Linked DNA regions of Arabidopsis thaliana. The protein of the gene in region 3 interacts with the protein of the main gene of each other region in a pairwise test. Each region holds a gene or a part of one and is shown on either strand. Other genes may lie near its edges.

Region 1 (6,913 bases), on a different chromosome or scaffold from region 3:
TCCTCCAAGACGCCACCGTCTTCAACTTCAACGTCTCCGGCAATCCACCGAACCTCCTCACCTCAAATTTCCAATTCACTCTCTCCTCTCGTAACCCTAACGACAAGATCGGTATCTACTACGACCGTCTTGACGTCTACGCTTCTTACCGGAGCCAACAGATCACTTTGCCGAGTCCCATGCTTACCACTTATCAAGGACACAAAGAAGTCAACGTTTGGTCTCCTTTCGTCGGTGGATACTCCGTTCCTGTGGCTCCGTACAACGCTTTCTATCTCGATCAGGACCATTCAAGTGGCGCGATCATGTTGATGCTTCATCTCGACGGTCGAGTTCGTTGGAAAGTCGGATCCTTCATCACCGGAAAATATCATCTCCACGTTAGATGTCATGCGCTTATCAACTTCGGGAGTAGTGCTGCCGGAGTTATCGTCGGAAAGTACATGCTCACCGAAACTTGTAGTGTTAGTGTTTGACAAATTAAGAGGTACTTAACGGTGACGGTGGTATCGGTCACGGATTTTTTCATTATTAATAACGTAATATATTTTATATATAATCTCGTAGTAGTTAAGTTTTATAACTTTTTTTTTCCTACGTCATAGAGAAATAATATCAAGAATTGCAATCGGTTGCGTTATTGTTATGACGAGCTGTAAAAGATTCAAAGGAAACACTAAAATATAGTAAAAGACAAAAAAAAAGGTTTATTTTTATTTCAGTTGGTAACAATTTATGATGGATGATTCAATTAAAAACTGTTTTCTATATAATGATAATAATGTATATTCTCTTGTTTCATTGACTATGATTTTGTGCTGATCCAGAGTGACGACAATTGAATTTTAGAAATATCTGATCGGAACGGTAACCATTTGTACGGTGTCATTATCTATAGTATCTTGTCTTTTTTTCTTTTTCTAAAACAGAATCAAGACCCATTCTCATATAGTTTTTCAATTTCCCATTAAAGTTTAGATCTTAAAGTTGGCTCTTTACAACAGTTCAGTACATTCAAAGGAAAAACTCTTGATCAAATCTATATTCCTAATATATTGGTTAGTTTGTCTCCTAAATATTCTTGGATCTTGAAATGATAAAAAGTAGAATCATGTTGCTTATTTTACAAGAAATAGGGTATTTTTCTCCAACGTTCGAATCCCACGAATATTCTATATTATGTATTTTTTGGGTTAATAATGAAGTCATCTTATAACCAACTGCTTCGACTAATTTTGCCTCTTTTGTTAAGAGATTTGTAGGCGTAATTCTCAATCTGGAATCCACTTTCTCCAAGAGAGAAAACTTGCGAAATGATTCATTACATGTGCTATTGTTATTATATTCGATATGTATATGTATTTCAGAAAGAAGTCCAATGTGAGAACATTCAAAATGTACATAAGAGCGAGGTCCAATTTGAGCATAACGTACGCAATTTGTTCGTTAGATTCGTCACCAACAAATATTTGATGTGTTTGTGAACGATTTTTTATGCAATTTTTTAATCTTAGTCCCATTTATCTACTAACTCCCACGTGTTTTGTTTCCTTTGTACATATACACGCTGCCGAATCCAGTTTGTATATAAACATAATTTTAATTGAAAATCTTCGAAACATTGTACTGAAAATTTGCCATACGTAATCTAGGTAATTGATCAGCATGATGAGAAACTTTACGCCCATCAATCCATGAATATACAATCCTAGTTTGGAACCGAAGTTATACTGTAAAAAAGCAGATGATAAAAACACACAATTGTCTACATAACCTTCCCTTTTTGCCTTTTTGAAGTCATACATTTTATTAAGCGTGTAAATGATCAAGACTTGAATATATACATAAAGATTCGATTTTGTTCATCTAGAGAAATTCATAACCAAAACATAGAATAAACATTCATAACCAAAGGATAACGTAAGTAAAATGAATCATGGAGTTGTATCATTGGTCCACTGGTTAACACGATACAGTTTCGACTTTCGAGTCGTATTGTATTCCAGATTTTAACAATGATTAACAACACAAAATTATGGTGACAACCACCAAATTAGAATTAGTAATAGATTACATGAAAAGTATACCCTATATGTTACTTCCTTAGATATATGTCCATTTAAACTTTAGTGGACATCTATTCAACGCAATTTCTCAATAATTTATTCGGATGAATATCGGAATTGAGTAGATAGGGATCGGTCGTCGGTTCCTCCATTTTCAAAACCCTAAGAACAACCAAAGTCTTCATCATTTATTTGTCCAATTCCAATGATCTATTTCGTCCAAACGGCTAAGATTGAAGGAGTCTTCGTGAAATATTTGTTGTCTAATTTAGTTTAATGTTTTATCACCACACACATTGACACCGCATTAAACTCTAACAAGTTTTTCAAACACGTTTGTTCATCACCAGGTTTTTCTTTAAAATTATTGTGTATTACTTATCATATACAATGAAAATTATTGTTATACCGTATAACACATAAAAATTTCTTAAACTACATTGACTACTTTAATAAATAAATAAAACACATTACATCTCATATTATAAGAATACTTTTTTTAGTTGTTACATTTGTTTTTATAAATCCTCCATAGTTGTTTTAAAGTTTAATATGATTGAGTTGCGATCTAGTATTATTATTCTTTATTAAATATGCTTGACCTTTCTCATTGAAGAAAGATGTAAACATTTGAAAGCATGGCTTCACCTAATCTTCCTTTCAATTACAGGTCACATCATCCAACTCTAAACACCAACCTCCCTTAGTTTTCCTTGCTTTTAGCATTATAACATTAACAAGTCTTTGCAATGTTTAATTTTCTTTGAATTTGAGAAATCTTTCACATTAAACATTTTCATTAATTGATAATTAATTAAATAACCTTTATCAGTAGAACTGTTCTCATAGTTATAAAATAAACATTTGGAAAACCCCACCTCAGTTTCAACTTGCAACCTATAGATCAAAGTTATTTCATTTCATCATGTTATATATATAATGTCGAAATTCTTGACCGGGACTGGTTTGTCTTTTTCTAACTTTGTATAGGCTTATTGATATTTTGGCCACATTTTCTATTTTTGTTCTCAAAAGTCTTTCGTCAAGTTTAAGAAACAATGGCTATATTAGAGCAGTCGCTTTTGGGGAAGTTTCTCGGAAGCTTAGTTACATTGTAAAAATGACTATTCACAATTCACAAACTAACTACCGCACTAAGTATCATCACATTCTCACATGTCTTATATAATAAAAGAATATATAAATAAATATCTACATATGGATATTCTTGTATGCGATCGGCACTAACCTCATTAATCACCAAATCATGTATATATGGATTCAAGAAATAATCTCATTAAGCTTAACCAAAGTATACATAGTCAAATTGAAGAAGAAACCATATAGTAAAATTTAAGAAACAATCTTTAATGTATATCAAACTGTTAATCCTAAATATCTAATAACAATCTCGCAAGTAACCTCTACTTAAATCAAATTTTCATCGAACAATATTAAACCGACGCGTCACCTTTGACTTTGAAAAAACAAAACCGCGTCAAATTAAATCGTTTTATCTAATACACGTTATCTCTACAGTGTATATATATTACGGCCTCTTCTTCTTCACTTCAAATCATATTTACTTTTTCAAAATCTTATCACAAACCAAAAAAAACTTTCTTTCAAAATCGTTCTCTGAGGCATTTTAACGAACAGATGGCGGACTTAAACGGTGCGTATTACGGACCATCGATTCCACCGCCGAAGAAAGTCTCTCACAGCCACGGCAGACGCGGCGGTGGATGCGGTTGTTTAGGTGACTGTCTTGGCTGCTGCGGCTGCTGTATCTTAAGCGTCATCTTCAACATCCTCATAACCATAGCCGTCTTATTAGGCATAGCTGCTCTAATCATCTGGCTCATTTTCAGACCCAACGCTATCAAATTCCACGTCACCGACGCTAAACTCACCGAATTCACACTCGACCCAACCAACAACCTCCGATACAATCTCGATCTCAATTTCACAATCCGTAACCCTAACCGCCGGATCGGTGTTTACTATGATGAAATCGAAGTCAGAGGATACTACGGTGATCAGCGATTCGGTATGAGTAACAACATCTCGAAGTTTTACCAGGGACATAAGAACACGACGGTGGTTGGAACTAAACTCGTGGGACAGCAATTGGTGCTGCTTGACGGCGGAGAGAGGAAGGATTTGAACGAGGATGTGAATTCTCAGATCTATAGGATCGATGCCAAGCTGAGACTTAAGATTAGGTTTAAGTTTGGGTTGATCAAGTCGTGGAGGTTCAAGCCCAAGATCAAGTGCGATCTCAAGGTTCCTCTTACCTCTAATTCAACCAGCGGGTTTGTTTTTCAGCCGACCAAGTGTGACGTTGACTTTTGATTGCTAGTCAAGAGTCAATGCTATTATAGTCTTCTTCGAGTTCATCATATTACACTTGTTTATTGATTCTTATTTTAGATTGTTTTGCTTTATTATCTTCCATACATATCGTTGGAGAGAGATATTTTTCTTATGTAATGTTTTATTGTATGGTTCCATGTAAATAAATAATCACATTTTGTTTAATGCTAATAACTATACAATTAGCATTATGATTGTCTCATGAAGCATTGATCCAAGTATCAAAAATGCGGAATCTTCTGCTTTCCCACTGATCCATTTTGTGTTTGTAGAATGAGAACAAGCAACATTGTACCCATGGAGGATTTCTTGGCACTTTCTCCATCTCTTCACCTCCCAACAATCTATTCAGCTTCTTGACTAGAGCCTCTTCATCAGATTCGTCACACCCGAAAAACTTTTCCTGTAAAAAGATATACAGATATAAGTATTAGACAATCCTTCAATGAACACTAATAATTAATCGTGTTTTACTTACCCCTTCATCAGCATATAGAGAAGCATGGATTCTGGCGGTTGCATCTTCTAGTATAGCTACCAATTTGATATTTCCGTTGATATCACGGAGTTTTCTGACGTCTCGGGGATACACTTGTATGAACCGAACAACACACCTGAATTTAGCAGTCACCTGCATAATAAGCATCAGTAAAACATCAATTCAAGAAAGTTTTCACTATACTCTTTTCCTACAACTTATGATAAATCCAAGGTTTTTGGATACATTACATTGTGATAGGTCAGGATGTCCATCAGAGAAACAAATGGAGCATCGTCATGGGCAACCCCTAGAAAAGATTAAACCATAAGTATTATATTAAACGTTATGTCAAATTTCCACAATTCCAAACAATTAGCTGGTTATTACCTGTGATTTCAGAATGTGAACGACTAATGCAACGCGCGATTGGGTTCCATCTCGGTGAAAACTTCTCCCCACACATTCTGAAATGGTAAGAAAGTGTGTTTTAAACTGAAGAACAAACGGACGAAGCAGAACATCAACTCACAGGATAAGAAAAGGTGTCAGCAGAAACCTTTGAGGACTAAAGGCTTCCATCTCTCTGCTCATTGTGTACTGCATCTTTGTAGAGGGAGTAAAAGTGGCGTTCCATAATCCCATATTTACTTGAAAGAAAAGGTTCAGAAGCTTCACGTGTTGACCAGGTTGAAGACAGTGAATGGCCTGCTTCTCACTAACTCTATCTACTATGATCCTCAAAACGGAACCAAAAGTAGGAAACTTACGTAACATGTATGTAGGCAACATCTCGGGTTCTACACATAAAGGAAGCCTTTCTGACCTATTATGATTGCAAACAAAAACAGAGTGAGATGAGTAACACGTTTGGGATATATGACCAAAATCTAGTAAATGAATATAAGACGCATAAGAGAAACTTATTTTTACTCGTTGTATTTTGGTTGAGGAAATTCAGACTTACTTAACCAAGATGTTGCAGGGTGGCATCTCAGTTCCATCCCAAACAAAGAGGTACCATCTATCTTTATAGACCTTGGAAATGTGAACAATCTTCAAAGGAAACAAACAATGAGAAACAATGTCAAAGACATAGCAGACCATAAAAGACACTTACAGTTCCATAAATACAAATGAACATGAAAAGTAAAACCAAAACATATTCTTTTAAGGAATGATCAATCTACCTGGCAAGATAGGTTTGAACATTCGCCTTCTTTGATATCTTTCAGGGATGTGAAACAGCATGACCCTATCATAAAACAAAACAAAACAAAACCTCACAACAATCGCAACTTACCACCAAGACATAGAACACATTAGAGATAAAGTACGAAGCAAACATTTGCATATAGAGATTTCAGTGAATAAGTAGAATTCATTAGAAATGATATTGCATCATAATTACCATCTTCAAACTTGTACGTGATCATCCATTCTCTCAGATTCGATAAGAAGTTCTTATCCTGTTCTCTCATCAGGAATTTAGGTGAGGACTGGTAAGGTATAGAATCCACGCTATGTTTCCCATTGAATAAAGCAAAAGACGAAGAGGTTGTTTCATTGCAGAGAGCTGTGATTTTCCGGTTAATCAGCACAATCTGAGTTTAAACCCAGAAGAAAACTGTTTAACAACAAAATCAGCAAAAGCCACGAAGAATTGATCTTCTCATATCAGAGGAATAGTGTGTCAACCTTTACACGTGAAAGTAAGATGATATCTCCGATCGATTCAACACGAGGAAGGTCTCGAATGGTACGAGCGACGAACTTAACGGGAAGGCCAGATCCCGAATACCATGGATCAACGATTTTGAGCGTACATGAACAATCTGCGACAAATTTCGAGCAGTCGGAAGTATGAAAAAACGAAGCTATGATGAAATGAAATAGCAAAAAAGGATTTTGGGAGAGGATCACGATACCAGAGCCATTGGAGAATCCTAGCTCAACGATGACTCCAATGAGGTTAACATGAAGATGCAATGCT
Region 2 (8,345 bases), on a different chromosome or scaffold from region 3:
CACTTCATTTGCCATCCTAAAGCTACACAGCACTCATATTGCAACCAGTATCAATATCAGTAAAAGCGAATGCATCAGCTCCGTGCTAAAACCTGTTAATCCTCTGTAAAAAATCTAGCTTGTTCCATCCCAGGTGGCGATAAAGGAGGGATGGCTGATTCAGCCTCAAGAAGGTGCCTTGCAGAGATGCCCTCAGACTTGCTTTCCTTTGATGGAAGGGACTCAGATGCAGTAGACCTGGATGAGTTGCTTTTGTGAATTGATGATAAGAACTTTTTCTTTGACAGATTTGTAGAAGCTGATGAGACAACCGAGCTGAAGACACCAGATTCTTTCAATGCTTGTATAACAACCTGCATTTTACCACAAATGTATATAATATTTTACAATTGACTTGCAAGAACTCAACATTCCAGGACTTGTGTTTGGAATTTTGTATAATGAATTGCAGAGTATGTTCTTACCATTGGTGAATAGATGCGAGTCAGAATACCCTTCCTAAGGAGTTTCGTCTTCACGTCTTTGTCACCCCACACAACGTGTTCACGGTACCTACACAGGGTAGATTACTTTTTGATCAAGACCAGATATTTTTGTAATCACAATAGGACCAAACTTGTTCAAAGAGTGTCAGAAGTTATCTATTTCACAAGTAACCAAGAACGATGCTAAGGCTCTTACCAGCTTAGCATTTCTTCGTCAGTTGCTGTTGACGCAATTATAAATGCCTACAATGTTGATCCATACAGCATCATAAAAGGGTAAGAGGAAGTGAAATATAGAGATTTTAAGAAATGACTAAGGACTTTTAGAGATTTTAAGAAAAGATGCTCACAGATCTGTCAAAGTCCAACATAAAGCATCTTTTCACGTCTTCTTTTGTAGGCTTACAGCCACATCGATCACGCCTGGATGTTAAGTCAGAAAATTTTGAATATGTGTAGTGTAGGACAGCAGCCTCCTCCAATTTGATCTCACTAGCAAGAATCATCAGGTTAGTATTTCCAAAAAAAAATTGGCTTCACAAACAGAAAAAATTAACTACGCTGTTAACCGGAACTCCACTCCACTGCTAACTCCTTTAAGATAGTTACATGGTTCTATATTAGAGTAACAACAAAGTCCTATCATGTTCCTCAACCAATAGAAAATTTAGTTATGTTTGAATATATGATAGACATACTTGGGAGTTTTCATGTAATTATGCCATCTGTGTGCTCCATTTGGACGAAGGTGATCTTGAACCCGAGCAACTGATTTGCCGTTACCATAAGTCAAAAAGTAATTTGGATTATTTCGTGTTGCTTCTTTGTACATTCCAAAATATGTATCTTTTGGAAGATGATCATAATTCTTCTTGAACATTGACACCTGCTTGCACCACACATATCTCAGAAGTAATACTAACATAACAAACAAATATTAATAAACCTACTCTCTTACGTAAAGACAGTAATAAACTGAATTATACCTCTGTAAAAGGATCCTTGATATCATCTCTTTCTACGCTGCTTTCCTAAACAACAAAATCCAAAAGCATTATTCATAGCAAAGGCCAGATCATAAAAGAAACTTTAGACTCACAAAACTAGCTGAAAATAAGCAATGCAAGAAGTGTGAATGAGATATCACTCACGTAATTTGGAAATATAACCATATCCACATTTGGAGGAACATCAAGCAGCAACCGTCTTAGTGAGTACTCACGAGCACCTGCTGGGTATATCAGCTCATCAGTGTCAAGATGAAGTATCCAATCCATGCCCGCATCCTGATATTTAGTAAGAACAAGAAAAATGAGAATGTAACATGAGACATGAGTCAAAACTGAACCAAATAAGGTCTAAAAGAAATACTTACCCTAGCCATGACAATAGCCATTTCCATGTTGAGAGATTGTTTGACAAATAACTCATAATTGCAGGGCTTATAAAAGAAAGACGAAAGCCAGGTCTCATTCCAAATCCGGCTGATGAAACAAAACAAAAAAGAATGACAGTAAAATGATCAGTAGTAGAAAATACAACAAAACAATGCTACAATTTCAGAATATACAACAAAACATGTGTTTAGTGCCTTGAAGAGCTATAGCTTTGTCGCAAATATGCAATGGGATAACTAACTAACCTCTTCGCTTGCTTCTCCTCAAGCTCTTTCGTCCTGTATATTACTTTAACACCCTGCAAGAGACATGGGACTACATTTATCGAAAACTGCATACCTTAAATACAAATTTATACCTACAGGACTAAAGAGCTAGAGATATACAGCCAAAACAAAATAAACAGTGGACGCGAAGAGAGGTAGTTCAACTCACAGGAATAGACTCGAGCACTTTAGAAATACTCGGAGTAGCAGCTTTCCCTTCAACGAAAAGGAAGAATGTTGAGACGCCTAGAACCTTATGGTAGAACATCCATGGTAGAATCTGATCCAATCCAGCTGATGTGCTAGTCGTGATACATATCTGTAAACAGTAACAATGTCAAGAATCATATACAACATGGAGCACAAAAAGTGAGGTGACTTTACAAAGACAGATCTGATCAAAAAATGAACTTTGGTATTTCTCAAATCTCTATAATCCAATAAAAAAAGAACAACTTGATATTTCAGATTAGACATTGTAGTAAGATTTAAGAAAAAAAAAAGGAATTTGGAAGTGTAGATCGATCCAAAGACTTGAAATCAGGGGAATTGAAAGTAGTAACCTTAGGCTTTAAGCTAGTATCAACACCAAACTTCCAATCAGCATAGTAAGGAAAAGAAGGAGAAGAGCTGCGAGCTAGATTTGAGCAGTCGGAGGAGGATTGGTGAGACTTTGGGGAGACAGATGAAACAGTCTCCATGCCGGGAAAGACCTCGTGATTGAGATCGGAGCCGCCAGGAACCGACGTAGAGGAACGAACAGAAGCAGAGGCAGGATCGGCGAGACCACCGCCTCGCCATTGGAGGATAAAGGCGAGACAAGCAAGGGAAACTGGAAGTAGAGTAAGGAGAAGGAGGAGCCTAGAGACGAATGAATGGTTTTGGGAAGAAGATGAAGATGAGGAAGAAGCAGATATTAGTGGAGCTCTGTGATGGTGAGTCGATTTCATGGTTAGCTCCACCACTTTGAAAAACAAAAAAAAGTTTCGGAGGAAGAAGACGAAGAAGAAGAAGAAAGACGCGATTCTGAGATCTTTCTTTTTATTTTATTTTCGTGTTTTGGTCGTCTGAGATCTCATCGGTAAAATTAAACTTTACTAACTAAATCTAATTGATTATCAATTCATCTCATTTTATTATGTATAAAAATTGGGAGATTTTCTTCCATTTTTTTTCTTAATCTTTCTCAACTGGATTTGAATTGATAGATTGGAAACATGTACCAACACAAAGAACAGAAGCAATTACACAGGGAGAAACAAATCTCCACACACTAAGCCACTATAAGCTAATAACAACAATAACCTATACAAAACAACAGAGCCATATAACAAAAAAAAAACCAATTCAACCAGGGGAAATGACTCTTTCATCACAGAAAACTGAATGGAACCAAGACGGATGACTTGATGCAACATACAATTGCAACCTGCAATCATCAGTGATACTCTATGACATAATATTCCTTCTTCTTTTGGATCAGATTAATTAAGTTTTGTTTCTAATTATTAAGTCATGACACTTCTTCCATTCTTAATTATTAAGTTTTTTTTTTCTTGTATCAAATCTTTAATTATTAAGTTTTTTAAAAAAAATTATTAAAAGTCATGACACTTCTTCCATTCTTAATTATTAAGTTTTTTTCTTGGATCAAATCTTAATTATTAAGTCATTTATTGTTGTTTCACCTAAGGTACCTTCATTTAAAAGCACCAATTAAAATATTTCACGTGTCGTCTCATTAGAAATTCGGATGCTTAGAGCCCAGTAAGGACCGATATGGGCCGGACCTGGTTATAAATGTAAGACTCTAATTGGATCGCTGTTCGTCATTACTTACCCATATATATTTGTTATTCTTCTTTTCTCAATTTTCTTTCTCTTTCCATCACCTTTCTCGTTCACTTGCTTCAGATCTGGCAGCGATTTCATTTCTTCTCCAGTCTTTCTCTCGTCTCGGTTCTATCTCCTGGCCATTGGCGGTCAGGACTTCTCAGCCGTATATTTGATTCCGTCCCCGGATTTACTCTTGCTGTGATCTGAGGTCAAACATGGCGGCTGCCAACGCCCCCATCACGATGAAGGAGGTCCTGACGGTGAGTTCTCCTTACTCTTCACTCTTATCTTTGAATATTTAGATGTGTATCTCCTGGAATCGACCGTGATTTTCTACGATTAAGCTCTGTTCAGTCTCTTGATTGATTGATTCCAGTTTCCTACTGATCTGAATTCTGCTCGATCGTTGTGTTACTCTCTAGTTTTTCCGGATCGCTTGTTTGGGAATGCATGTTTCTGATCAGATTTCTCTAACTATGCTCAGATCTGTGTTTCGTTAATATATCAATGCCGAATTTCAAGTTGTTGTCTGTAGCAATGTGCTTATGTACTCGGATCTCATAACTAAATAAATGAACTATTTGACGTAACGCTTCATCTTGATTTTTCCAGCTTCCGAGCATCGGGATCAATCAGCAATTCATCACGTTTACAAATGTTACTATGGAGTCTGACAAGTATATCTGTGTACGAGAGACGTCACCGCAAAACAGTGTTGTAATTATAGATATGAATATGCCGATGCAGCCTCTTAGGAGGCCTATTACTGCAGACTCTGCTCTTATGAACCCAAACTCGAAGATCCTTGCCTTGAAAGGTACTTGATTTTTTCCTTTGATCTAAAACCCATAACGGTTTCCTCGAATTCGTAGTTCATAATCCACTTATCTTGATGTTCACTTTTTACTTCAATATTTATGTAGCTCAAGTTCCAGGAACTACTCAGGATCATCTACAGATATTTAACATTGAAGCCAAAGCAAAGTTGAAATCACATCAGATGCCTGAGCAGGTGAGTGTTGATGCAAATATATTTGAACTCCATTATCGTTCCTGCTATACACTTCGTATAACTCTGAATTTTTCAGTCGGGTTTTTTTTTGGATAATAATGTTTCATGTTTTTACAGGTTGTCTTTTGGAAGTGGATTACACCAAAGATGTTGGGGCTGGTCACACAGAATTCCGTCTATCATTGGTCAATTGAAGGTTGTATATTTCAGCCTACTGTCATTTTCTTCATATCTTGTGTTTTCGTTTCTAATTTTCCTTCGGGTTTTATAGGTGATTCTGAGCCAGTTAAGATGTTTGATAGAACAGCCAATTTGGCCAACAATCAAATTATAAACTATAAGTGCTCTCCTAATGAGAAGTGGTTGGTTTTAATTGGAATTGCTCCTGGCTCTCCTGAGGTAAGTTTACTGCGCCACATATTAGGTCAAAAAAAGACATCAAAACTGCTTTCATGTTGTAGATTCTTGACTGATCTTGTCATTATTATCTGTTTTCTGTAGAGACAACAATTGGTAAAAGGAAATATGCAGCTTTTCTCTGTGGATCAACAGCGGAGTCAGGCCCTTGAGGCACATGCTGCATCGTTTGCGCAGTTTAAGGTAACGTCTTTGTTCTTTGGTGAGTTCATCTATGGTCTAATCTTGAACTGTAGTTTGACTTGCAACACTATTAATATTAGGTTCCTGGGAATGAGAATCCTTCTATTCTTATATCATTTGCAAGCAAGAGCTTTAATGCTGGGCAGATAACATCAAAGTTGCATGTCATTGAGCTTGGTGCCCAACCTGGTTAGCTCCCCGACGCAAAACTATATCTTCACTGTTATTTAATATAATTGGTTACGTTTTCTAGGTTGTATTCATCTGATCTTTAAAGGTTGGCGATTTTTTTGCAGGAAAACCATCATTTACAAAAAAACAAGCAGATCTCTTTTTTCCCCCTGATTTTGCTGATGATTTTCCTGTTGCCATGCAGGTTTGCTATTGCATTAGAATTTCAGTTATATGTGTAAGTAGTTAGTGACAATTTCTGGCACTAATTTCTCATTTTCCTGACAGGTCTCTCACAAATTTAACTTGATATATGTTATCACCAAACTTGGCCTGTTGTTTGTGTACGATCTAGAGACTGCTTCTGCTATCTACAGAAATCGGATTAGTCCAGACCCAATTTTCTTGACTTCTGAAGCTTCCTCAGTTGGGGGTTTCTATGCCATTAATAGGCGAGGACAAGTTCTTTTGGCTACAGTAAACGAGGCTACCATTATACCTTTTATTAGTGGCCAAGTATGCTAATCTTTTATGCTATTTTCCCGTTATAACCTACCCTTTTCATCATGTCATGCTAAGAAATCTATGCTTTTGTATCACAGTTGAACAATTTGGAGCTTGCTGTCAATCTTGCTAAAAGAGGAAACCTCCCAGGTGCAGAAAATCTGGTATGCGATGTTTATCATGGATCTGTTGTCTCGGTGAAGTAATTATATAGTTGTTAAATGGCAGCTTGAAGAAAAAAAATGTCATTTGGTATTGTGAAGTTTCTCATATTCTGCTCGGATGTTGTAGGTTGTCCAGCGGTTCCAGGAGTTGTTCGCTCAAACAAAGTACAAGGAGGCTGCTGAGCTTGCTGCTGAATCTCCTCAAGGAATTCTAAGGACACCTGATACAGTGGCCAAATTCCAGGTGTCTATTTCATATCCAAGCAACTATGTGTAAACATGTTTATTTATGATGAAATGTTGGTAACACCAATTTTTCAACTCTATAATTTTGCAGAGTGTTCCTGTACAAGCTGGACAAACTCCTCCATTGTTACAGTATTTTGGGACTCTTTTGACTAGAGGGAAACTCAATTCATATGAGTCACTGGAACTATCTCGGCTGGTTGTGAACCAAAACAAGAAGAACCTCCTGGAAAACTGGTTGGCAGAGGATAAACTAGAATGCAGTGAAGAACTTGGAGACCTTGTGAAGGTAATCTTGAAATGGACGATTTTATTCAAAATGTGTGATATGTCTCCTATGGTGTGTTGTGACGATAAACCTTTCTGTTCCAGACTGTGGATAATGATCTCGCTCTGAAAATATACATCAAAGCTCGGGCGACTCCAAAAGTTGTAGCAGCTTTTGCAGAAAGAAGGGAGTTTGACAAAATACTGATTTACTCAAAGCAGGTAAGCAATAAGATCTATAGTATAACCTCTTCTATTATTTTTACCCTAAAGTTCTGTTGTCTCATGAATTACCATTGTTTCATATTGTGACTTCAGGTTGGGTACACACCTGATTACCTGTTTCTTCTGCAAACCATACTCCGTACAGATCCTCAGGTTAGTGTGGTGCACTCTTGATACTTGCAACATACTAAACTATGAAAGGACTTTACTGAATATATGTGGCGTAAGCACTGGAAGAGTTATGAATCAACTAACTTGTTGAATAATTTGACCTGATGTTATATAGAATGAAGAATCTTTTTCCCACCGTATTAATATCAATAGTCTTTTAATTTTTATTTGCAGGGAGCAGTAAATTTTGCATTAATGATGTCTCAAATGGAAGGAGGTTCTCCAGTTGACTACAACACCATCACTGATCTTTTTCTTCAGGTAGGTCAATATATTCTGTATGCACCAATATTTGTAGCTCATTACTTGTTCTACTCCTATATACAGAATTGTATACAGTAGATGTAAATTATCATGTGCTTATTTGTCTATTTGTGCATATTCAGAGAAATCTGATCCGTGAAGCGACTTCTTTCCTTCTGGATGTGCTAAAGCCAAATTTACCTGAGCATGCTTTTCTGCAAACTAAGGTTGAAAATAGTTGCCACCTTGTATCTCTCCGTTTTTTTCTCTACTCACCTTCTTTCCCCAGACTGTTTAAATCATTTTTCAACACAGGTTCTGGAGATAAATTTGGTAACTTTTCCTAATGTGGCTGATGCGGTATTAGCAAATGGGATGTTCACCCACTATGACCGGCCTCGCATTGCTCAACTTTGTGAAAAGGCTGGACTTTATATCCAATCCTTGAAGGTTGGTACATGTTTTTTACCATTTTTACCGGCCAAATAGATTTATCATCTTCTCACCTTCCAACTTCTTTTCCTTTTGATTTGTGCAGCATTACTCAGAGTTACCTGATATAAAACGTGTAATTGTAAACACACATGCTATCGAGCCACAGGTAGTGCCTCTGAAATATATTTTGGTTGTTAAACCTACTAAGTGGTCAAGTTGTTGCATAACACTCTGCTCCATATGCAGGCTCTTGTTGAGTTTTTTGGCACTCTTTCTAGCGAGTGGGCTATGGAGTGCATGAAGGATCTGTTGCTGGTCAACCT
Region 3 (8,586 bases):
CTGTCAAAATGTATTGCTAAATTGGTTTAATGTTGAATTAAAATTGAACTACCGACATCGCTGAATTGAATATGTTACAATTTACAAACTGTTAAAAAACTACAAAATTTGTCGTTTTCTTTGTCATATCCATTGGTAATATATCGTTATTTCCTACTTCAAAATTTGTTTATGTTTTCATTATTAGCAAATTAGGAATTACTAATTAGTTGTGTTCAAAGGAAAAATCTGAGTAGGCCATCTATTGATATTGGGCCACATTGATATGTCTCAGTAGGCCCATATATTACAAATTAAAATTAGAAATGATGTACAAGATTCAAATGAGAAGTGTTATTCAAATTAGAAATGATGTTCAATTGTTTGTTCTGTGTTTGCTCCATTTATTTGGTTAATTCATTAGTAATCGCATTTGTTCTGTTTATTTCCTCTGTTAATTACTGTTTCTTCAGATGCCACAAACACTGCAATAAAAGATAAGTCCATGTTCACATTTCCCATTTGAATTAAGATTATAAACAATTAAGCTAATGATTGCTGTCTCCATTTTCAAACTTCCTGCTGCCATAAACTGTCCTCGAGTGTCTTCTATTGCAGAAATACAATTATTAAAAATTTCATTTTTGTACTTCTTTTTGCTAACTTTATTCAAAGGGAATATAACTATTGGATGTTAAAAGTCAGAGAAAGATTTTTTTTTAATGAAGTTACAGCTTTTTTTCTCAATGAGAGGAGACAAAGTCCATGTGCTAACTTTGGTTTCTTAAGCTATAATTCTTCATGCTCAGGTTCTAATCCAATTCCATTATTACAGTTTCAATTATTTAAACTATATATTTTAAATTAAATACTTGATGATTAGTAATGTGAAAATAATTATTTCATTGTGGGAAAATATAAAACATTGTACAGTACGAGAATGACAGCAAAGTGAAGCCAAAAACTCAGAAAAATAAAATAAATTAATAAATAAAAAAAGAGAGAATAAAGAAACAAAACAAAAAAAAGTAAAACTTTTCTCTTACGCCATTCGAAGAGAGAGCAAAACCAGAAGAACCGATGATTCTTCTTCTTCTTCTTCTTCTCTCCACAAAAACTCAGTAGAAACATCCAAAACAATGCGTTTATTTTCTTTTTTTTCCTGGAAAAAAACAGAGATTTTGAAGATGTTATTATAGCTTAGAGTTTTCTTCTTAATTTTAGTTTCCAAGTGTAAATCTCCTTCCACTGGTAAGAAAGCTTCTGGATTTCTGTTCTTGCTTAATGATACTTTAATTTCAACCGATCTCGTTTTATTACAAAATCTCTGGTGATTTCTGCTACTTAAATAAATTAGAATTTTTTTCTTCCTTGAAATATGTAATAATTGAGGGTCTGGTTGGTGTTTAGTGGGTCAACAAATCGAGCTGCTTCTTTTGTTATCTTCTGTGTACTTTCAAATGATTTGGTCTCTGATTTATGCTGATCTGTTTATGTAACTTCATCAAGCTTAGCTGTTTTGTTGATCTGTAATGCAAAGTTCATTTTTTTTGTTCCCTTTCCTCTCTCTCTCAGTATATGGTATAATTGAGATTAGATGATATCTAAAAGAATTAGCTTTATCTCATTTTTATTCGGTTTTGTTTCATGAAATTTGCAGATCCGATATGGGTTTCATTGGTGTGTTGCTAAGTTAAGAAAGTTTGTACCTTTTTGTAGTTTAGATAGGTTTGTTTCCAGACATGGAAAATCAAGAGGATTCTTGTGAATGTGAGGAGCTTCCATTGAATCACTTAGGAGATGAGGAAGAGTTTAGAAGTTGTTGTGGTGATGAAGAACTTTGGTTAAAGGGTAGTGATGATATAGCTAAAGTTGTAGAGGAGGAGAAAAAAGATGATCTTGATGATGAGTTCTCTGTTAAGATGGTCTTTAAAGGAGTCTCGATATTCGAAAGAGGAGATTTGGGTTCTGGTTATTCGGGAATTGGTGTTGTGTTGGAGAGGTCAGGAGATTTGGAGTTGATTCAGGTTCAGAAGAAGTTGGATTTTTATGTCGAAGAGTCTGTAGCTAACTATTTAGCTCTTATGGATGGTCTTGAAGTAGCTTTACAGAACAATCTCAGCTCTGTGGTTGCTGTAACCGACTCCGAGTTGCTCTATAATCAGGTAAAGTCTCTCTTCTTTAGCTTGTTGAAGAGACTTGCTTTCATATGGTTTTGTATCTCTTTGTAGGTTTGAGCTCACGTTTTATATGAATTGACTTTGCAGATAACTCGTGAGGAGCAGCTCGAGATCCCTCTTTTAGTAGCTCTGAGAGAAAGGGTATTGGAGAAAACAAGTAACCTTAATGGGTTTGTTCTAAAGCTTGCTCCTTTCTGTGATCTTGATGAAGCTCTAAGCTTGGCTCAAGTAGCGGTAGGAATCGTGTCTTCTAATCTTGATGGGGATAAACCGATCGAGAACTGCTCGATCTGCTGTGAAGACCGTCAGTCTGAGATGATGCTATCATTGAAATGCACTCACAAATTCTGTTCGCACTGCATGAAAACGTACGTTGAAGGGAAAGTAAAGACTTCAGAGGTTCCCATCAGGTGTCCTCAAGTGCAATGCAAGCATTATCTCTCAGCAGCGGAATGCAAATCGTTCCTTCCCGTCACTACTTTCAAATCATTCGAGGAAGCAAATGTGTGTAGTAAAAACAATGGGAAGATTTACTGCCCATATCCCAATTGCTCTTTTCTGTTAGACCCGCAAGAATGTCTATCATCAGGAAGGGCTAGCTCAAGCTCGTCTACTCAGTCAGAGAATAGCTGCTGTGTGGAGTGTCCAGTCTGTGAGAGGTTTGTGTGTGTGGACTGTGGTGTTCCTTGGCATGCTTCTATGAGCTGTGAAGAGTTTCAGATTCTTCCAGTTGATGAAAGATACCCAGATGATATTACATTGCATCGCTTGGCAAGGTATAAGAGGTGGAGGCGGTGTCAGCAATGCCGTATAATGATCGAGCTTGCTCAAGGCTGCAACCACATGACTTGCCGGTAAGACACACATATATATCTATGGCTACACATTGTTTTCCGTATCTATACATATTTGAACCACCAAAGTTAGGTTTTTGACTTCCAATAAAATATAGTTAGTCTTGACCCTTTAACTGCAGAATCACGGTATCGTAATAACCATATGATTCTAAGGTTTTTTTTTTCTCGCCTACGTTTAAATCTAGTATTCTAGAGCAAGTGTTTCTTTTGCGATTCTTACGCATATAAATGTCAAAACTCTCTGTGTTTTCCGCAGATGCGGGCATGAGTTTTGCTACTCGTGTGGAGCAGAGTACAGAGAAGGGCAACAGACTTGCACGTGTGCTTTTTGGGACGATGATGAAGAAGAACAAGAAAACGCAGTAGAGGAAAACACAATTCAAGAAGTTGAGCAATGGCCTTGGGACACATTTAACTCAATTCCAACTGTAATGGACGCGTACTCAGAGCAAGAAAGATCTCAGCTTGCTCTGATCCAAAGGTTCTTAGCAGGTGGAGGGTTTAGTCTCAGTGATCACCATACTACTTATCAGTCACCGCCGCCTCCATGTACAGAGTCATCATATGTTGAAGCCGCAATGAAAGATCTTCATCAGCTTCCTTGGCTTGAGAGGTTTGTGTCTGTTATAAGTGATGATTACTATGAAGAGTATAATAGCCAGTGAAAGTAGTAGAATTGTAATTTAATAGCCTTGAGGATCCGGCTTGGTTTGGTTCAGAGAGGCCAAACGAGAGTATCTCACTCTCGAAAGTAATTGTTGGGAGGGTTTTAGATTCTTGATGAACTCAAACAAACGAATTGTGATGAAACTATTTGCAATTATAAGAAGAAGAGTTTGCTCATCTCCATTCTACAAATCCTGCAAGAAAGATTAACACTCTTTTATATTCAGTGTTATGTTATGATATTTAATCTACCAAAATTTGGTTGAAGAACTAATCAAAATGAACTTGGTTAGCATCATCATATATATACCAACTACCAAGTAAAGAAAAAGTTTGATAAATTCAATTATTCATGCTCTTCAAATAAAATACAGAACCCATTAAAAAGGGTCCACTTATCATCAATCTACTCTTGCATTATCTTGAGTTTTTGTGTAGACATAACATAACCCATTTTATAAGTTATGACCTTATTAGAAAGGGTCCACTTATCATCAATCTACTTAGCATTTTGTGTATATTTCTCAAAGCTGACGTTATTTAAGACGTCATAGACCCACTTCACCACAACTCAAGTCGTCTTCAATTGCTGACGACATTGCTTACGGTTTTTGAATCGTCGTCACAAAATTTAGGAGATTGGATTAGGAATTGGCTCTTTCTTTACTATTCTCCAAAGACTTTACTATTTGGTCAGTCTTCTTATTTCTCACCTTTAGCTTTTAGATAAACCTCTGATTTTTTTCTCCCATCTGTTCTGAGATTGTCTTCTTCTTCTTGAAATCTTTTTCATTTGTGCAATGATTTTGAAGACTACCCATCTATTCAGTTCTTTCTCTTATGATTTAAGTTTCATTTAGTTTTTTTTTCTCATCCGCCATTTTCGTTGACTTTTTGAAGCATTTCTCGAATTGACTTTGTTCTTCACATTGATTCATTAGAATGTTCTTTCATAAAGTTTGGATCTTTTCTTCAGGGCTTGATTAATTTCATATCTATGATCTTCTCTGTATTGTTTTTGATCCAATCACTTCTCAAAATTTGATCCTTGTCATTGGATTTAGATTTAGGGTTTTTGTATCCTTGGGGATTTGAAGATCAAAAACAGAGTCTTTGAGTGATACTTCTGGGGAACAAAATGGCTGCAACTGCAATAGAGCCATCTTCATCTATAAGTTTCACATCTTCTCACTTATCAAACCCTTCTCCTGTTGTTACTACTTATCACTCAGCTGCTAATCTTGAAGAGCTCAGCTCTAACTTGGAGCAGCTTCTCACTAATCCAGATTGCGATTACACTGACGCAGAGATCATCATTGAAGAAGAAGCTAACCCTGTGAGTGTTCATAGATGTGTTTTAGCTGCTAGGAGCAAGTTTTTTCTTGATCTGTTTAAGAAAGATAAAGATAGTAGTGAGAAGAAACCTAAGTATCAAATGAAAGATTTATTACCATATGGAAATGTGGGACGTGAGGCATTTCTGCATTTCTTGAGCTATATCTACACTGGGAGGTTAAAGCCTTTTCCTATCGAGGTTTCAACTTGTGTTGATTCAGTTTGTGCTCATGATTCTTGTAAACCGGCCATTGATTTTGCTGTTGAGTTGATGTATGCTTCATTTGTGTTCCAAATCCCGGATCTTGTTTCGTCATTTCAGGTTTGAGATAAAGTTTCTTTGTGATTTTGCTGGTAAATAATCTGTTCTTGATTGGTCAAGGCTGTAATGTTGTGTGTTGTTGTGTCTGCAGCGGAAGCTTCGTAACTATGTTGAGAAGTCACTAGTAGAGAATGTTCTTCCTATCCTCTTAGTTGCGTTTCATTGTGATTTGACACAGCTTCTTGATCAATGCATTGAGAGAGTGGCGAGATCAGACTTAGACAGATTCTGTATCGAAAAGGAGCTTCCTTTAGAAGTATTGGAAAAAATCAAACAGCTTCGAGTTAAGTCGGTGAACATACCCGAGGTGGAGGATAAATCGATAGAGAGAACAGGGAAAGTACTCAAGGCATTGGATTCAGATGATGTAGAACTCGTGAAGCTTCTTTTGACTGAGTCAGATATAACTCTAGACCAAGCCAATGGTCTACATTATGCAGTGGCATACAGTGATCCGAAAGTTGTGACACAGGTTCTTGATCTAGATATGGCTGATGTTAATTTCAGAAATTCCAGGGGGTATACGGTTCTTCATATTGCTGCTATGCGTAGAGAGCCAACAATTATCATACCACTTATTCAAAAAGGAGCTAATGCTTCAGATTTCACGTTTGATGGACGCAGTGCGGTAAATATATGTAGGAGACTCACTAGGCCGAAAGATTATCATACCAAAACCTCAAGGAAAGAACCTAGTAAATACCGCTTATGCATCGATATCTTGGAAAGGGAAATTAGAAGGAATCCATTGGTTAGTGGGGATACACCCACTTGTTCCCATTCGATGCCCGAGGATCTCCAAATGAGGTTGTTATACTTAGAAAAGCGAGGTATTGACCTAGTCGATATATATATTTCTCATAGCTTAAGGTTGATGTCTCTTTATTGAATTCTTGTATGTGTCATTGCAGTGGGACTTGCTCAGTTGTTCTTCCCAGCAGAAGCCAATGTGGCTATGGACGTTGCTAATGTTGAAGGGACAAGCGAGTGCACAGGTCTTCTAACTCCACCTCCATCAAATGATACAACTGAAAACTTGGGTAAAGTCGATTTAAATGAAACGCCTTATGTGCAAACGAAAAGAATGCTTACACGTATGAAAGCCCTCATGAAAACAGGTAAAAGCTTAAGGAAATGTACTTTCAAGTTTTATTCTCTGACCACAAGATTGACTGATTCGAAACCGTTCAACAACGCAGTTGAGACAGGTCGGAGATACTTCCCATCTTGTTATGAGGTTCTGGATAAGTACATGGATCAGTATATGGACGAAGAAATCCCTGATATGTCGTATCCCGAGAAAGGCACTGTGAAAGAGAGAAGACAGAAGAGGATGAGATATAACGAGCTGAAGAACGACGTTAAAAAAGCATATAGCAAAGACAAAGTCGCGCGGTCTTGTCTTTCTTCTTCATCACCAGCTTCTTCTCTTAGAGAAGCCTTAGAGAATCCAACATGATCTTGTCCCAGATAAGTAATGCTACTAGAGATAGTTCCTTGGAAGAAATTAGCTATTTTATAGGTTTTGGTTTAGAAAACAGTGGAGATCCCATTTTGGTATTCAGGTTTATTACATGGTTTAGGTTTGATTTTGTATTAAAGGAGATGGATTTTTGAAATGTATAAAGCAAAACCTTTCCTTTTTGCTTTGCTTCTTTCTTTAGTCAGAAAATTGTAATATATGGAAGTGAAATCGAAGCAACGATTGAGCAGAACGAGAAGCACAAGAAAAATGTTAAGCTAGTTAAAAGATTTTCAAGCTTCTTGCAAGAGAATTACTAAACAGGCACTTTCTCAGGGGAAAGATCCTCGTGTTGAATTAATCTCAATACCAAAATCTAAGCCTGCTTCTGATAGCAAAACAGGAACTAGAGAATAGAGATAGTTCCTTTGAAAAGATTGAAGATCCCATTTTGGCTTTAGGTTCAATTTGTATTACAAGGGATTTTGATTTTTAAAATGTGTAAAGGAAAAATATGATGCTCTGAATCCAAATCATTTAGAACATATTGCTTGCTTATTTGGTCAGAAAATTCTACTACTTGGATTTATGTCTTCAATTGTTACAAAAATATTTGCTTTCCTTTAGACCTGAACTGAAGCAGTCAATTACATAACACAAGCTAACTATTACTAAAGAGTATATGAATCACATGAGAGATCTTTCAGTAACCTGTAACAGACTCTGGACAAATCATCAGTACTGTCTCCTTCGAATGTTATGCGTGTCCATCTGTTTGTTTACAGGACAGATGTTGCAGGACAGATGTTGTAGGACGGCTAAGGAGGAATATTCCAACAAACAATTTGCAGATCTTCTCAGTACTATCTAAAGAATATTTCCAATGAATTCACGCAACATTTTAGATCTGCATCAAATCTGTAACTCAGCACATACTTCATTTGCTCTTTCACAAGCATCGGCTAACACTAATGGATCTCTCTGTTCCGGAATTCTCCAAACTCTTCCTTTTGATTCATTAGGTGGCATTGATATCAAAAACCCTTCACTGTCTCAGTTGTACTAAATTCAAGAAATAGTGCCAATAACCTTAACTTCAGGTAGATGATTGGTTTATACTTTCCCAAATGGCTGGACCTTCAGGGTGGACATTGACAAAATACTTCACAAACCGGGCATCACCGCAAGTGAGAATAGTGCTTGGTGACAGCATTGGCTTTGCTGCATCTCTTTCCCTCAACCATAAATACATTGAGAATCTGTGATGTATCCTCTGCATATCATAACACAGATATGCCGGGAACCTTACCAATGATTCAATTGGATAGCCAAGAAGTTCGGTTAAGGAATGTATCTTTTTCTCTATGACATCTTTAGACAGGTTAAGTATCATCGGAGCATGCCTGATGATCTCAGTAACCACATTATAGTTTAAACCGGCTTTCACAAGGCAATCAAATCTCTCCTGTAGCTGATCTCCCCTCCCTCGAAACTGTTTTAGAGCCTTCACCATCTCATCCGAGTTTTCTACATACCCTAGCCTCAACAAAAACTCTGTCTTCTCTAAGTATTTCCTCGAGTCTTCCGAAAGAGGTTTGCTTTTTCTCTTCTTCGTTGTAGAAACAAAACAAAACAATCTCAAAGGCTCTTTCTTTAAGATCTTACATAGCTCGTCTTGTTTAACATTCAAACTAAGACAAGCAGTTCTAGGTGCTGGCAGAGAGCATGAACCAATAAGCTCCATATGACTCAGCAAAATCTTCGTGATAAACTGCGTTTCCATTC
Region 4 (6,495 bases), on a different chromosome or scaffold from region 3:
GACACTGAACCTTCTCTCTGAACCCCAGACATTGACGCCATATAAGTGCTTGAGTCTTGTCGTAATGGTGGTGCTGTCTTCAGCATGTGAACCAGAACACCAACCGCTGCGTCCTGTGATGATCTTCTCCCTAGAGGTAGCGACTGCGATATAGAGCTTGAAGTTTTCCTCCGGTCAAGACTATGGCTGCATCGAAAAAATTGCAAAATATCTGTCATTTTCTTACTACCAAAGACTAAAAAACCCAAGAAGAAGTGAACTTGACAGACCAAAAAATGATAAAGAAACAGTAAGAGAAAGGCCAAGTATAGAGTGTGAATGCCAACAATTTCACATTAAACAAAACAGCCAACACATTAGTGTTTTCTTCATGGCATCTTGTCATTGACCAGCTCTATGTGTAAAGATTTCTGTAAACTAATCCAAGTATATAATATTTCCTTTGAATGATTCAAGTTAGGTAGTGGGATAAAGCCAACCTGTACTGAAGTCCTGACTCATCAACATCATCGAAATCAAAAGGGCATGAACAATCAGGGTCATCCAAGTCGTCTTGGGAAGATAATCTACTGGGGCTCCTAGAAAACGCGAATCTTGGTGAGTCACTCGAAGACAGAACTCCTGAGAAGCGGCCTGAATCGTATTTGCTGTCCTTTGACAGCTGAAGAGTAGATATAAATAAATCAACAAAATATCAGATGAGGCAATACAAAATATAGTGATATTTTTCTTGCATTGAGCAAGACACATAAGATGTAAGAAGCATAACCTTTTGAGTAGGGTACTGGTTCATTAATCCAGAAGGAGACTCTCCGCTTCTAGAACTCCTGTACAACGCAATCCCAGGCAAAGAGTCCTGCGATGAAGGGGAGCGTCTTGTGCTTTTGGGGGAAAAAGGAGGAAGTGGATTCCTACCTGGCTCAGAGAAGTTAGATGAAACGTATCTATTTAACGTGGCTGAAGAAGGAATGGTCACTGGAGCAGTCCCTGGTCTCACATTAATGCGCGGACTGTTACCCCCAGATATGTATCTTGGAGTAGATGGAGAACCCGATGGTGAAAAGGGAGGTGAAAGCTGGTGATTGTCACCAAAAGCATCTGTACGTGACCAGTGGAAATCGTGTAACCCAGGTGACAACTGATGAGACTGAGCTGGCGAAAAAGATTGGTTCGGTGTTGCGAATTGAGCTGGAGGTCTGTGAAAGCCGCTAGTCCAGCTATGCGGACGTTCTGCAGATGAACCAGTCAATGGAGGCCGACCAGCTCTACCAGTAAAGGAATGGCCTTCAACACTTCTCCCTGGAGAAGGGAAAAACCTCATAGGATCTGTTGCAGGACTTCCCACATAATCAGTTATAATCCTCGGAGGCAATGTGATATGAGCACCGAGATTAAAATCAGATAAGTCAGAACGGTAAGTAACCGATGCACAAAGACGACCAGGAGGCACTTCAACAGGAGCAAAACGAAACTCTTTCATTGTTTCCGTCACAGGACCAGAGAATATGTCACTGAAAGATGAAACCTTGTAAATCAAATCATAACCAGAAGAAGCAAGAGAAGAACTCAGCTGCCTAGAGACACGATAAGCAGGAAGAAGCCGAGTCTGTGCATAAAGAGACCGCAACAGAATGATAGATTTCTTGTAAACCTTCTGGTAACGCGTTGCAGAGTCAGAACTCTGAGGAGACATAATCAAAGGATTCTCATATTGAACAACCCAACGCTCAATCACAGTCTCAGCTGATCTAACAACAGAATCACTATGATCATCATCATCATCCAAATTATCGTTTGAAATCGGATGGACAAGAATGATATCAATAATCATAGAATCCAGAATATTCCTATGCCAAGAATGCAATTTCTCCAACGCAGCAGGACGATCTCCCATCACAAGATTAAACCATTTGTCACTTTTTCTAACGTTAAGACCTGATAAACGCTCACGAGTACGACCACGAGATTGCAACGAAGGGATTCTGGAATTAAGAACTATGTGTAATGCTTTTGGGAAGAAATGAGAAACAATCTGCTCTAATCTTCCTATATCTGAAGGCAAATTCTCTGGAAAATCCATCTTCTTCACACAAATCCCTAAATCGAAACAATTCTAAAAATATCTCACACAAATCCCTAAGAAATATCCAAATCCGAAACTGATCTATGAGAACGGAGATCACGAATCGTTGTTTTGGGAGAAGGATCTAGAAATACAAAGCTTAAGATGATTAAGGTGATTAAGAGATGAAGAAAGTGTAGAGAGATAAATTACAGATAGTTAGGGTTACCGTGAGGAAGAGAGTTTGATAATAGAAGCTTTTATGTGAAGATCTGAGACGTCAACGATGGCGTGAGTGTGTTTTACACGCAGATGACGATGATGATGATCAACATAAACAAAAAGAGTTTCAGAGGTAGAAGAAACACACACGATCACGATTTGAGAACACTGTGAAATTACTAATTAAATTAATATTGAATTCAACCAATGATAAATAGCCACGTCTTTGTTCTCTTTTGTTTTTCTCGTTTTACCCTTATCTTGTTGCCTCAATTACAGGAGACAATAGGTCTCGTTAATCTTAATGTACTATACTGTGAAATTACTAATTAATATTCGACTCTTGTGAATGCAGCCAATGAAGAATAGCCACGTCCTTGTTATCCTTTGTTGAATTTTTGTTTTCTTCTGGTTTTACAGGAGACAAGACAATAGGCTCTTAATGTATACAGTGAACCTGAATCTCACGCGCTTTTTTGGTAGAGAAGGTGAAGCAAATGCGCCAAGTCGGATGTTTAAGTATATGGGCTTACTGTTTAAGCATTAGGCCCAACATTTCTAGATAATTGGAACACTTTTTTTTTTTTTTTGTAAACCAGATAATATGTATTTGCAATCATCACTATGGAATGAGTTCAAAACCATTGGTTTTTTGAAGTTATGGACTACGTAGCTAACATTTTAAAACCTACAGATTTTTATTTTATTTTAAATGTTATATGTTATATTGTATCATTACAAGAGAAAGCGATTCTTACAATGTAGTTTAGTCTTCTAACAACTGTTATTATTACTGTTGTGAAAAATATGTATTCAAACTAACATACTGCATGTTATCAACAAATGTATAAGTTGTAAATGTCTATTATATATTCTCTATGTTCCTAAAAGAATGATGTTTTGGGTTTTTCACCCAAATTAAGAAAATTAACTTTTATGTTATTTATATTATTTTTTTGTTAATTTAATAATATAATTTCTACTTCTTTCCTCTCTCTATTAGTCATTAATAAAAATAATAATAATATTAACCTAAGAAATCAATTTTTATGGAACAAAAAAAAATCTAAAACATCAAATTTCATGGAACAGGAGAAATATATTTTTGGTGATAGTACACTAATTTTCTATTTTATAGTGGTTGTAGATGTATGATGTCGTGAAATATCCCATAATAGTTCTTCAATCATAATATAAGTAACGCAATATTAAGCGGCAGCGTTTTCCCAAATTATTAACTTGTTAGTTAATAATCTAAAGAATAAATCCTTGTCACAAACTCACAATATCACAAGAAAGTGAGAAACACTATAGTGATTGGCTTCAGACGTCACCTATTTCAAGCCCTACTAACTCAATAATGTAATCAATATATACCACATACATACATCAGAGATCAGACCAACACATTTTTATTACAAATTTGACGGACCAGAGATTTATAAATAATTAAATTGAATTTGTGTAAACCACGGCATTAGAATTATTAATTACTATTCTATTTACACGTTAACATATATTTATCCATTTATCAATTTATAGTTGTATAGACGGCAATTTGTTTATTAATTTTAAAGTTAAAACTAGTTAATAACATGGATAAACCGGAAATTTCGAAATTAATTTGGTTTAAGTTTCATATAAAAAATATTTAAATCGAACCTAGCGAAACTGTGATAAAAAAACGAAAAAAAAAAATTGAACATTCGAAAAAAATAGTAAATTTTCTCTTTTGGGGTGGTCTATGCATACATAAGCCATGAGTATGTTTAAGTTTCAAGTAAGGAGAAAATATTGACCGAAATCAAAAGTGAGGAGAAATAAAAATCAAGAAGCAGATACATTGAACCTGGACATGCAAAAGCTACACAAAGCGCCTATTAAAGAAACATAATCAAACCCTAACACTCAACAAATCAAGAAACAAAGTTAGAACCACAATCAAATCCTTTTACACAAAGAATCTTAATGGCGAACCGAGGAGGATGCGTGACGGTGGCGGCGGAAGAGATGGATGAGCTAAGGAGGAGGAACATAGAGCTCTCGAGAGAAGTGGCGGAGATGAAGACAGAAATGATTAAGTTGTGGCAGCGAACGGTTGTGGCGGAGGAGGCGGAAGAGCAACTCTGCTCGCAGCTGGCGGAGCTGGAGGTCGAGTCTTTAGAACAGGCACGTGACTATCACGATCGCATGCTCTTCCTCATGGATCAAATCTCTCGTCTCTCTTCTTCTTCTGTCGTCTCTTCCTCGTAGAATAAGATATTTCTCATAAGTTATGTATAGTTGTGTATGTGACAATCACTATACATGTATATAGATCGATGGTAATATGTTATGTTTTCAACATAAATTAAATGTTTGAATCCATTTCTAGTGAATAAATTAGAATTTCTGATAATCATACAAATTGTTGAACTCCATTTCTAATGAATTAGTATTTCTGGTACTAGTTGCATATTTTGTCTTGACTTTTAATTACAAAAGTTCTTATGGAAGCAAATAATATTTTGGAATGATACCATGTTTAAGTAATGAAGTAATAATATATGAGTGAGATCTAATGTCAATCTTAACTATCAAAATAATTTTATGGAACTAGTAGGTATTGGAGACTCGAAGGGGATCGAAGAACTTTGAAGTTTAAATTCCATGAAATCCTACATTACCATAATTTTCAAAGGAATCGTAGAAGAGTTAATTGAAACTTGAGTGTAGAAAAAAATAAAGGGTTTTTGGGTACATGAGTTTCATGGAAATTTTCCACAACTTCAGGATTTTTTTTTTGTGGTCAATGGAAACCGTAGGAGAGAATGGTTCAATGATTTTTCTATGGAACCATAACAATAGTCTTTAGGGGACGTGAAACATGAAATTGTGTAAGTTTTCCATTGGTTCAAGGGTCATTTTCTGTTTCTATTTCATTTAATTATATATTTATTTTGTTAATATAAAAAAAAATCATTTAAAATAGTATGAAGATATGTGGTGCTGGCAAATTAAGAGGAATATTGACATTCGATTTTGACGTGATTTTGTTTGTTTTGCTGTTAATTAACTGTTTTGATCATAATAAATTTGAGATAGTATCCGTTGACGATGAGAATATGCCATGCGTAGATTTAAAATTATTACCATTTCTTATTTAATCAACAACGGTACCGGAGTAAACCATGCCTGCCAAAAATGAATTGAAACTTCAATTGTTTCAAGAAAGATGTGTGTGTGTGTGTTTTTTTCATTCTAAACAAAGTTGAACCAAATTAGAATAAATTAAACCGAAGTGAGCCAGTATGTAATTTTGGAAGACTAAACCGGACAAGAAAGCAGATACATTGAACCTGGACAGTATAGGAACTCAATCAAATTGTATGGTCTAAAATGTGATCATCCCACGCTCCGAATTTGTTCATGTCGCAGCTTTTTTTGGCATTTTGTAATAATTGGGCAAACGATTATTCATGATTTTTTTTTCTTCTTTGGCTTTTTTCTTATGCTACTTTATCCCTGATTTTGATATCTCTTGAAAAGAAGGATCTACCATTATTGGAATCATTTGTCTACGATATCGACTATCGAATTTGACTGTTTACAAAGCTATAATTCTTTTGATATCGGGTGACCAAACTGTAATTAATTAACTATAGTTCCATGAACAATTTAGGAAATAGAGATAGCTTAGACTTTGGCCTAGATTAATGGGTTTAATGACTAATATTGGTGGATTCAAGAATAATGAATTAGTAGGAATAATCGTTACGTGTTTCATTGGTGCGACGGCCATTGACTTGGGATAAGTAGAAGTGGTCCACTGGAGGCACGAAGAAATGGGATATGACAATTACATCGACGTGATTGGTGACGTCACCCATATGTATCTCCACGACGTTCACCGATTCCTAATATTCAACTAATTCGCATAATACTAATTAACGTCTTAATATGATTTTCTAATTTTTTGTGTATCTAATAATTATGGTGATGATGATAAAAGAAATTTGACATCTTAATAAGCTATTAAGGAATATAACTATAAGATTTTTGCCTAATCACTATGAGCAAATTATATGAAAATTTTGATAGAATATGAGATTTTCTCTTAAATGTGTCAAATTTGGGATATAGGATACATATCTACAATAGGCCAGATATACTTATACTATCATGCATGGATATGTATGTACTGATGTTGCATTTTCTAGATTAATGTAATA

Evidence for each region.
Region 1: the proteins of NPR4 (region 3) and NHL3 interact in binary tests that used the Arabidopsis thaliana proteins (3 or more experiments, as listed by UniProt).
Region 2: the proteins of NPR4 (region 3) and AT3G08530 interact in binary tests that used the Arabidopsis thaliana proteins (3 or more experiments, as listed by UniProt).
Region 4: the proteins of NPR4 (region 3) and LSU1 interact in binary tests that used the Arabidopsis thaliana proteins (3 or more experiments, as listed by UniProt).

What each region holds. Positions count from the first base shown.
Region 1 is NC_003076.8:1,928,524-1,935,436, reverse strand, and holds NHL3 (NDR1/HIN1-like 3), read left to right. Parts: upstream 1-3,668; 5' UTR 3,669-3,725; coding exon 3,726-4,421; 3' UTR 4,422-4,641; downstream 4,642-6,913. Other genes in the region: AT5G06330 (Late embryogenesis abundant (LEA) hydroxyproline-rich glycoprotein family), read left to right, coding at 1-476; AtPOT1b (Nucleic acid-binding, OB-fold-like protein), read right to left, coding at 4,642-4,845, 4,921-5,073, 5,172-5,230, 5,311-5,387, 5,480-5,746, 5,888-5,976, 6,111-6,175, 6,332-6,524 and 2 more. UniProt on the Arabidopsis thaliana protein: Confers resistance to Pseudomonas syringae pv. tomato DC3000 (Pst DC3000).
Region 2 is NC_003074.8:2,591,266-2,599,610, reverse strand, and holds the start of AT3G08530 (Clathrin, heavy chain), read left to right. Parts: upstream 1-3,956; 5' UTR 3,957-4,199; coding exon 4,200-4,244; intron 4,245-4,596; coding exon 4,597-4,801; intron 4,802-4,907; coding exon 4,908-4,996; intron 4,997-5,113; coding exon 5,114-5,192; intron 5,193-5,267; coding exon 5,268-5,395; intron 5,396-5,497; coding exon 5,498-5,596; intron 5,597-5,676; coding exon 5,677-5,785; intron 5,786-5,892; coding exon 5,893-5,972; intron 5,973-6,055; coding exon 6,056-6,283; intron 6,284-6,369; coding exon 6,370-6,435; intron 6,436-6,562; coding exon 6,563-6,679; intron 6,680-6,772; coding exon 6,773-6,970; intron 6,971-7,053; coding exon 7,054-7,170; intron 7,171-7,266; coding exon 7,267-7,326; intron 7,327-7,518; coding exon 7,519-7,605; intron 7,606-7,730; coding exon 7,731-7,814; intron 7,815-7,902; coding exon 7,903-8,037; intron 8,038-8,125; coding exon 8,126-8,188; intron 8,189-8,268; coding exon 8,269-8,345. Other genes in the region: KOB1 (elongation defective 1 protein / ELD1 protein), read right to left, coding at 96-353, 465-552, 682-728, 836-977, 1,184-1,371, 1,472-1,516, 1,637-1,771, 1,861-1,969 and 3 more.
Region 3 is NC_003075.7:10,694,478-10,703,063, reverse strand, and holds NPR4 (NPR1-like protein 4), read left to right. Parts: upstream 1-4,271; 5' UTR 4,272-4,820; coding exon 4,821-5,339; intron 5,340-5,430; coding exon 5,431-6,169; intron 6,170-6,250; coding exon 6,251-6,798; downstream 6,799-8,586. Other genes in the region: AT4G19670 (RING/U-box superfamily protein), read left to right, coding at 1,722-2,144, 2,247-3,013, 3,273-3,681; AT4G19650 (Mitochondrial transcription termination factor family protein), read right to left, coding at 7,898-8,586. UniProt on the Arabidopsis thaliana protein: Salicylic acid (SA)-binding substrate-specific adapter of an E3 ubiquitin-protein ligase complex (CUL3-RBX1-BTB) which mediates the ubiquitination and subsequent proteasomal degradation of NPR1 in the absence of SA.
Region 4 is NC_003074.8:18,373,477-18,379,971, reverse strand, and holds LSU1 (response to low sulfur 1), read left to right. Parts: upstream 1-4,031; 5' UTR 4,032-4,252; coding exon 4,253-4,537; 3' UTR 4,538-4,739; downstream 4,740-6,495. Other genes in the region: ATG13 (Autophagy-related protein 13), read right to left, coding at 1-186, 480-647, 711-2,080.